Canis lupus familiaris: one gene and its partner. The protein of the gene in region 2 purifies or fractionates together with the protein of the main gene of each other region. This does not show direct contact. Links are inferred from orthologs where the notes say so. Each region holds a gene or a part of one and is shown on either strand. Other genes may lie near its edges.

Region 1 (3,654 bases), on a different chromosome or scaffold from region 2:
TTTATAGGCAGAACAAATCGCCATTTTCCAATTGCACATTAAGAAAAACAGAGATGGGGAGAAAGAAATGGGTGAAGGTGGTCAAAAGGTATAAACTGATGAACAAATCATGGGATGTAACATACAGCCTGGTGATTATAGTTAACAATACTGTATTATATACTTGAAAGTTGCTAAGAAAGATCTCATCATAAGGAAAACAAATTGGTAACTATATGACATAACAGATGTTAACTAAACTTATTCCAGTATTCATTATGCAATATATACACATGTATCAAATCATTATGTTATACTCCTTAAAATAATACATTATATGTTAATGATATCTTAAAAAAACTGGGGAAAAAATTGAGTGTACACTCTAAAAAACAAACAGGGAAATGGAGCCACATTCTCTAGGAAAGGGAAGATGAAGTGTGCAAGGAAAGCTGGTAAGCACTTTTTTCCAAACCCAGGCATGACTTGCCATTCCTGGGCTGGTCCCAGGTGAACCAGCCATGCCACACACAATCATTTTGAGAGGTTAAGATTTCTCTACATAAATGCAAACTAGTGAATGACAGCTACATGAAGCCAGGCTTAGGAAGAAAACACTGAAAGATTCAAGTTTCTGTGAATGCTGTCCTTATGTGTACAGGACACGGAGCCAAGCCATGAGAGCGGATCCACGCCAGAGAAGGCCACGCTCCAAGGCAGCAAGGATGGGCCGGGACAGCTGGGTTTGCATCAACATACAGCGCTCCCTGAGTGGTGCAGGCAGTCTTCTCCCTCGTCCCGCTGCCCATTCTCCGCAAGTCGAGATAAGTCTTACAAGGACACCGCTACTCAGGGCAAAGTAAACCCAAATTCAAGTGCTGCATTCAGCATAAGTTTCACAACTGAACTCAGTTCCTGAATTTGAGGGGCAGGAAACACAGGGAACTTGTATATTTGGGGAGATGTGATTCCAGTGAATGCTACCTACTGTGATGAAATACAGAAAAAAAAAAACAAGAAGTTGACAGTGTCAACCTCTGAAGGCAGATGCAAGCCAGCGTGACTTGAGGCACTGGAGGGAAATTTTAGAGTGGTCCTACCCCTGAAGAGAGATCCCAAGGGATAGAGAACAATATAACAGTGAGGACTTCTGTCCTTTGTGTTTAATGTGTGTTGGGGGTGGGGAGGGAGTTAGAGTAATTGCAGAGCTGAGGAAAAAGATGATGGAGACACAACTGCACTGCTCCCCCCAACTCAGCCAAATACAGCTCGCACACACATCATTATCCAACGCAGATTCATCATCGCCCAAGAAGGCAATCTTGAAGTCTGTGCACACAAGTTTCCCATAGATCCCACGCTGACAGGAATCCTCCTGGACATACTTCAGCACTGTACTGGCTTCACAAAGCAGCTGTTCACCTGATGGAAACCAAAACAAGTCCTCATTAGAGTCCTCAGGGAATACACAGTATGCAAACACTAAAGGCTTCCCCAGCTCTATGCACGGTAAAGACAAACACATGATATATGGCAGCCCTTCAGAACTCCACACTTGGCAGCACAGCAGGAGCTGCAAATGCCAGGAACGAAGATGAAGCAGAGTAGAGACCACTGATAAGTAAAACCAAAATGGCTCAGCTACACCTCCACATAGCGCACTTCCCTATCTTCTCACTGTGAATAAGGAACATTTCCAATACGTGGAAATGATCTCAGCGATGCTTGCAAGTGCAGACCTCAGTGTTCCTGTCACTTGGGCCCAAGCAGGCGTTCCACAGAAGTGATCCCCTAAATGAATGAAATGAGCAAGGCTCTAGAATATGGAGCTCCAGCCTGAGTTGTGGTGAGAGTGGACCATCATCTCTCACTCTGGAACTGCTAAGAGAAAGCAGGGTGGTTCCCCAGCCACAGGGCTCATAGGCAGCTTCCTCACATAAGAGGTGCAGCAAGACCACATGCACTCTGGCTCCACAGACAAGGATGGGAGGAAAAGGGAGGTCAGAGGTTTGTCGGAAAAAAATGGTTTCCTCTCTTTCTTAGTTGGAGGCTATTTCCTCTCAGTGTGTCACCTTTCCTGCTCCATCTGAGGTGCCCAGCCTACACGAGCAGCTCTATTTCCTGGAGTTAGAGGGGACTTCTTCTCTTTACAGTAGAGATGAGGATTTCAGGATAAGTAAGCATTCACTGCTCCCTGGAAGCAGAGAAGTTCATGAGGGCTGGACATTTGGATGAGAGCAGGAGATGGGTAGGGAAGAAATAAAAAATCAAGTGCAAATGTTTTGTAACAAAAAAGAAAAAGAATTTTCTTCTCTTTCAACAGACAACTATCTCCCCTCAGAATCCCTCTGGATATTATCTTCAATGTCTTTCAATTTATTTTTGGACTCAAAATTCACTTGGTCTAACTTTTAAAATGAAAATAAAGAAGAGTGTCAGACACTGAGACTATGAAGGGATGCCTCTCATGGTATATGTTTCCATCTCCCAAGGAGTTAATTACTCAGGAAATATGGGAGGTGGCTCAGTCACCAGGGCAGCTTCCAGAGGGACCACAGAGCTTGAAGAAAACAATGAATTGGGGCCTCATTAGGGTTTAAAATAGTTCCAGAAAAAGTGCCTCAACTAGTTCAAGATAGAAGATATGTGAACAAGACTTCCCGTGCTTTCAACTCCTAATGTGAAACAGCTTTTAATAGTGAGTATCTCCCTAAGCCCAAGCAAGCCATGTCAGTCCGTGGCCATGCACTGGCAACTAGAGACACCGGAACGCATTGGCTAATACAACATCCCGTGAGGCTCTGCAAGCTCGACGTGCTGCACCATAGCTATCAGCTCACATGTGCAGAGTCTTGAATCATGGAAGGCAGAAGCTGGAAAAGATCATGCTCTAGTCTGGGAAATGGAGGCTGCACAACTAGAAGAGTCCTCAGGTAATACAGAGAATGGGAGAAGGTAACACTAAAATGAAAGTTAGTTTCAGGATCTATGACCCAAGAAAAGGAAGGACAATGTGGTATATGAATTAAGGTTTAAGTCATTATTGTAAAACAAGCAAACAAACAAAACAAAAAACAAAAAACAAAAAACCCTCTGAAACTTAGAAATATTTTTTTTTAATTCCAGGATCCCAATATATTTACCAAAGGTGGATCAGTCAGTAACTTGTACATATTCATATTCTCTCAACAAACTGGAATAAGATAAAAAAAAGTACCAAAATGAGACCTTTATTGGTTTAGGGAAATATACCTTAAAAAACTGACAAAAAAAGCTACTTGGATTAGAAAAAAGAAAATGGAAGAAGAACTGAATGCACAGCCCCAGGAGAGCCCGCACGCATTTAAGGGGATACAACCATCAAGTAGTTTCCGTTTCTGAATTCACAAATGATTAAAGCTTAACCTCAGGTACAGAGTCTCTCTTCCATCTCAAAAATAACTAACCAATTCAGACTCTTAGTGATGATGTCAGAATAAAGCCCCTGCAGGCTCAGGGTTAGTAAACCCCAAGGCTGCCTGGCACTTACACGCTCAGATATGTAAGCAGAGACCACAGGTGAGGCCACCCACCAAAGCTTGCCTGGGGAGGCCTAAGCAGCTGCGCTAGTCCAGGGCAGCTACACCTGGGCAGCAGGAAGAGCATGTGAGATGTAGGGCTCTGTGGGGGACCAGG
Region 2 (3,654 bases):
CAAGGCTCTCAAAAGATTAAAAGTATCTTTGGAATTTAGGTACTTTTAGTTATCTAACATTCAGTAAGTTCTTAAATGCCTCCTATGCATAGGAATACTGACTGCATGCTAGCCACTGGAGATACAGTATATTAACATTTTTAAGGGACGCTTGGGTGGCTTGGAGACGCCTGAAGAGTCTGCCTTCAGCTCAGGTCAAGATCTCAGGGTCCTGGGATCAGCCCCATGTCAGGCTCTCTGCTCAGTGGGGAGTCTGCTTCTCCCTCTGCCCCTCCCCACCTCTCCTGTGCTTAACTAGATACAATCTTTTAAAATAAAATGTTTTAATACCTGCCTTCAAGGAACTTACAGTCTACTACATGGCAGTTACCTTAGTGTTTTATTTAACCACACAATAGTAAGTACTATTTTTCCTAATTTACCGAAGCAGGAATGAACTTGCCTAAGGTTACACAAGAAGAGATAGATCCAAGATTTCAACCAGGGCAGCCTGGCTCCACTCCCTCCCATAATGCTTTAACAGAATAGCAAGAATAAAGTAGTTGATAATCACATTTTCAGAATGAAAACTGATGCAGAGGGAGACACCAAATCAAGATGACTTGGAATTTCATACATATAGGATAGAGATACTTTGAGGTCAGAAGTAAAACTTGAAATGTAATCCTTAGAAGTTTCTTTTAAATAATACCAACCACTTACCAATGATCTCACTGGTGAAGCAAGGAAATGGTAACTTTCTACATAGTGTCTTGTTAATGTTTGGATGTTTTACCGTATTATTTTACAAATTAAAAAAAAAAATTAAGGGGATCCCTGGGTGGCGCAGCGGTTTGGCGCCTGCCTTTGGCCCAGGGCGCGATCCTGGAGACCCGGGATCGAATCCCACGTCGGGCTCCCGGTGCATGGAGCCTGCTTCTCCCTCTGCCTGTGTCTCTGCCTCTCTCTCTCTCTCTGTGTGACTATCATAAATAAATTTAAAAAAAAATTTAAAAAAAAAATTAAAATGGCTCCTATGTATGCAGAACGTATTTGGGGATCTGAACTGTCCATTCATACGTGTATGTTTTGCTAACTACATTTTTCTGCATGTGCTTTGAAGGATTTCCATCCTGCAAGGCCTGACGAATAACACTGGTGCTCTTAAGATTACAAATACCTCAGTTCTCTTGAGCAGACACTACTTTTCACCCACAAACTCACCTGACATTTAGCTGCCACCTTCAGCCTCGCAACAGAGCTACTTGAAAACAAATCAGGCTCAGGTGTGTGGAAAGAAGTAATCATACTACAGTATGTGGCAATAAAATTTGACCAAAGAAATTATCCAAAAGAACCAATCAGTTGAAATCTATCTAAGAATGCACCCTCGTGGGAACATGACACATGTGGGGAGTAGAAGGGGGAGGGTCACAGCACATATTTTACCTCTTTTCCTCTCTGATGTTCACTGTTACACAGAAATGTTCCAAATAAGCAGCTGTAGAGATGGTCCAAAATGGTAATGAGAAAATATTCATTGAATTCAAATGCTGTAGGAAACTGCAAATTGAATACCACAAACACACAAAATTATTAGGACACTTTTCCAAGCATGTTCATCCCCATATATGGGTAGGTCCTTCATTATACTTCTTAAAACTGGGTTAAACAATATTCAAAACTATTTCTAAGCCATAATGGCATCATCCACTTCATTCTGTGCTCGAAAGTCACTCTATCACTCTTCTGAGATTTCTCCCCAAATATCCTTTTCTTGTGCAACAAGAGTTGGAATGGTGTGACCTTGGTATTTCTGTATTTCCTGTATCTGTTAGTCCCAAACTTGAAGAGTGATAAATTTTGAAGTTGGAAATTCTGGAACTCTGAGCTTTTCTTTGCCAAAGATGACCATAAACAATATAAGAAGATTTTCTTTAAATTTTCAGCAACATAGTTTTGTTTTTAGGAATTACACAAAAAATATCAATGCCGCCAGAAAATGTCAGCAACATACAAAAATAAAGATCCAAGGAGATGTGCAGATCATTTAAAAGCCAAGCAGTCAAACCAGAGTATCCTATAATCCAGTACTTTGGCAGCCTCCTTGTAACAAACAAACAAACAAACAAACAAACAAAAAATCATTTTCTCTTTAACCTAGGACAAGAGCTTGACTAGATATCTTAATATTACATAAACAATCAATGTGGGGGACTTATCAAGGAAGGATGACAGGTCCCAGGAAGGGAAAGGGTTAGTATATGCATCTAATACTTAAAAATTATTTGAAAGTCTCCATGAAAATTGTACTGATTCTAAGACTGTAAAAATGAACTGTGAATATTTAGATTGCAGATTTGGGGAATAAATATTGGTTCCAAGTTTTTCTTAGAATGATCCCTACACCCAGTAGTACAAGAAAACAGCCTGAGCCATGAAAATGGGATAGGAATGAAAGCACCTCTGCCTTGACGTTTTCAAAAATTATAAGCAAGGTATTTCTCGAACAATGAAGGGTTACTAGCCTGCCTTGAATCGAAACTTTTGTGGTTTCTAAGCTGAAGCAGGTGATCCAGCACATGCCAACAGAAAGCCAATTACCTGTAAGATATTTGGTCAAATACCATTCATTCATTTACAAAATAAATCCTGTTTCCCGTACTGTTACACTCTTAATAACCGCATTAGCCAGCTGTGAATGTACTCTTAACTCATTAAACAGCCATCCCAAGTTGCTAAGCTTGTGATTAGTTTTTCGTCTTTTTGGCAAAACCACGTGCTCAGTCATTAGAAGAGAAGAGAGATTTGACAGTGGACATGTCCTCCACAAAATGATAGTAGCACAGCAGGAACTGCTCTGAGCAGAAGAGGAACATTTTCTCCTCACGTGTTTAAAATCAGAAGGGCGGGCAGCCCCGGTGGCACAGCAGTTTAGTGCCACCTTCAGCCCGGGTTGTGATCCTGGAGACCCAGGATCGAGTCCCGCGTCGGGCTCTCTGCATGGAGCCTGCTTCTCCCTCTGCCTGTGTCTCTGCCTCTCTCTATCTCTCTCTGAATAAATAAATAAATAATCTTTTTAAAATAATAGATAGATAGATAGATAGATAGATAGATAGATAGATAGATAGATAGATAAAATCGGAAGGGCCCTACATCAACTGCTTCCTGACCCAGGAGTGAGGGGATAGGGATGGGGATGGGGATGGGGATGGGGATGGGGCTGAGGATAGGGGACTAGTGAGGGGATGGGGATGGGGCTAGGGTAGGGGACTAGTAGAATCTGGCTAATCACAACATAATTGGTGTCATTTTGACAAATGTGCTACTTAAGTCTGCACAAAAGTTCAATTATTTATAAAAATGATGATTGTCAATAAACATAAGGAAGAAAGATATTTATCATGTACTCTTCTATGCAAACAACTGGCACATGTTGGAAATGAACTAATACATTCACACATGTTGCCCCTTGAAACCATTCCTGTCAGAGAACAGGATAGTCAGTCATCAGTGGTGTCAATTTCAAACAGCTTCTCTAGCCTTTTTATACAGCATTTTTTATTTTTGCCAAGAGTCAAACATTTAAAAATCAAATACAGGAATGGTCAATAGTGGGTCTTCTTGTTTTTGGTCAAACCCCCAAAACTGGATTGGCAAGGATTTGTAGAGCTG

What was found.
Region 1: the proteins of MTMR2 (region 2) and MTMR12 purify together in Homo sapiens (affinity purification with mass spectrometry; 5 studies listed by BioGRID and IntAct, with this or other methods). This does not show direct contact. The link is inferred for Canis lupus familiaris from reciprocal best matches to the Homo sapiens genes MTMR2 and MTMR12.

Annotation. Positions count from the first base shown.
Region 1 is NC_049225.1:76,094,531-76,098,184, reverse strand, and holds part of MTMR12 (myotubularin-related protein 12), read right to left. Parts: intron 1,402-3,654; coding exon 1,259-1,401; intron 1-1,258. UniProt on the Homo sapiens protein: Acts as an adapter for the myotubularin-related phosphatases. Regulates phosphatase MTM1 protein stability and possibly its intracellular location. By stabilizing MTM1 protein levels, required for skeletal muscle maintenance but not for myogenesis.
Region 2 is NC_049242.1:5,388,477-5,392,130, reverse strand, and holds part of MTMR2 (myotubularin-related protein 2), read right to left. Parts: intron 1,543-3,654; coding exon 1,429-1,542; intron 1-1,428. UniProt on the Homo sapiens protein: Lipid phosphatase that specifically dephosphorylates the D-3 position of phosphatidylinositol 3-phosphate and phosphatidylinositol 3,5-bisphosphate, generating phosphatidylinositol and phosphatidylinositol 5-phosphate.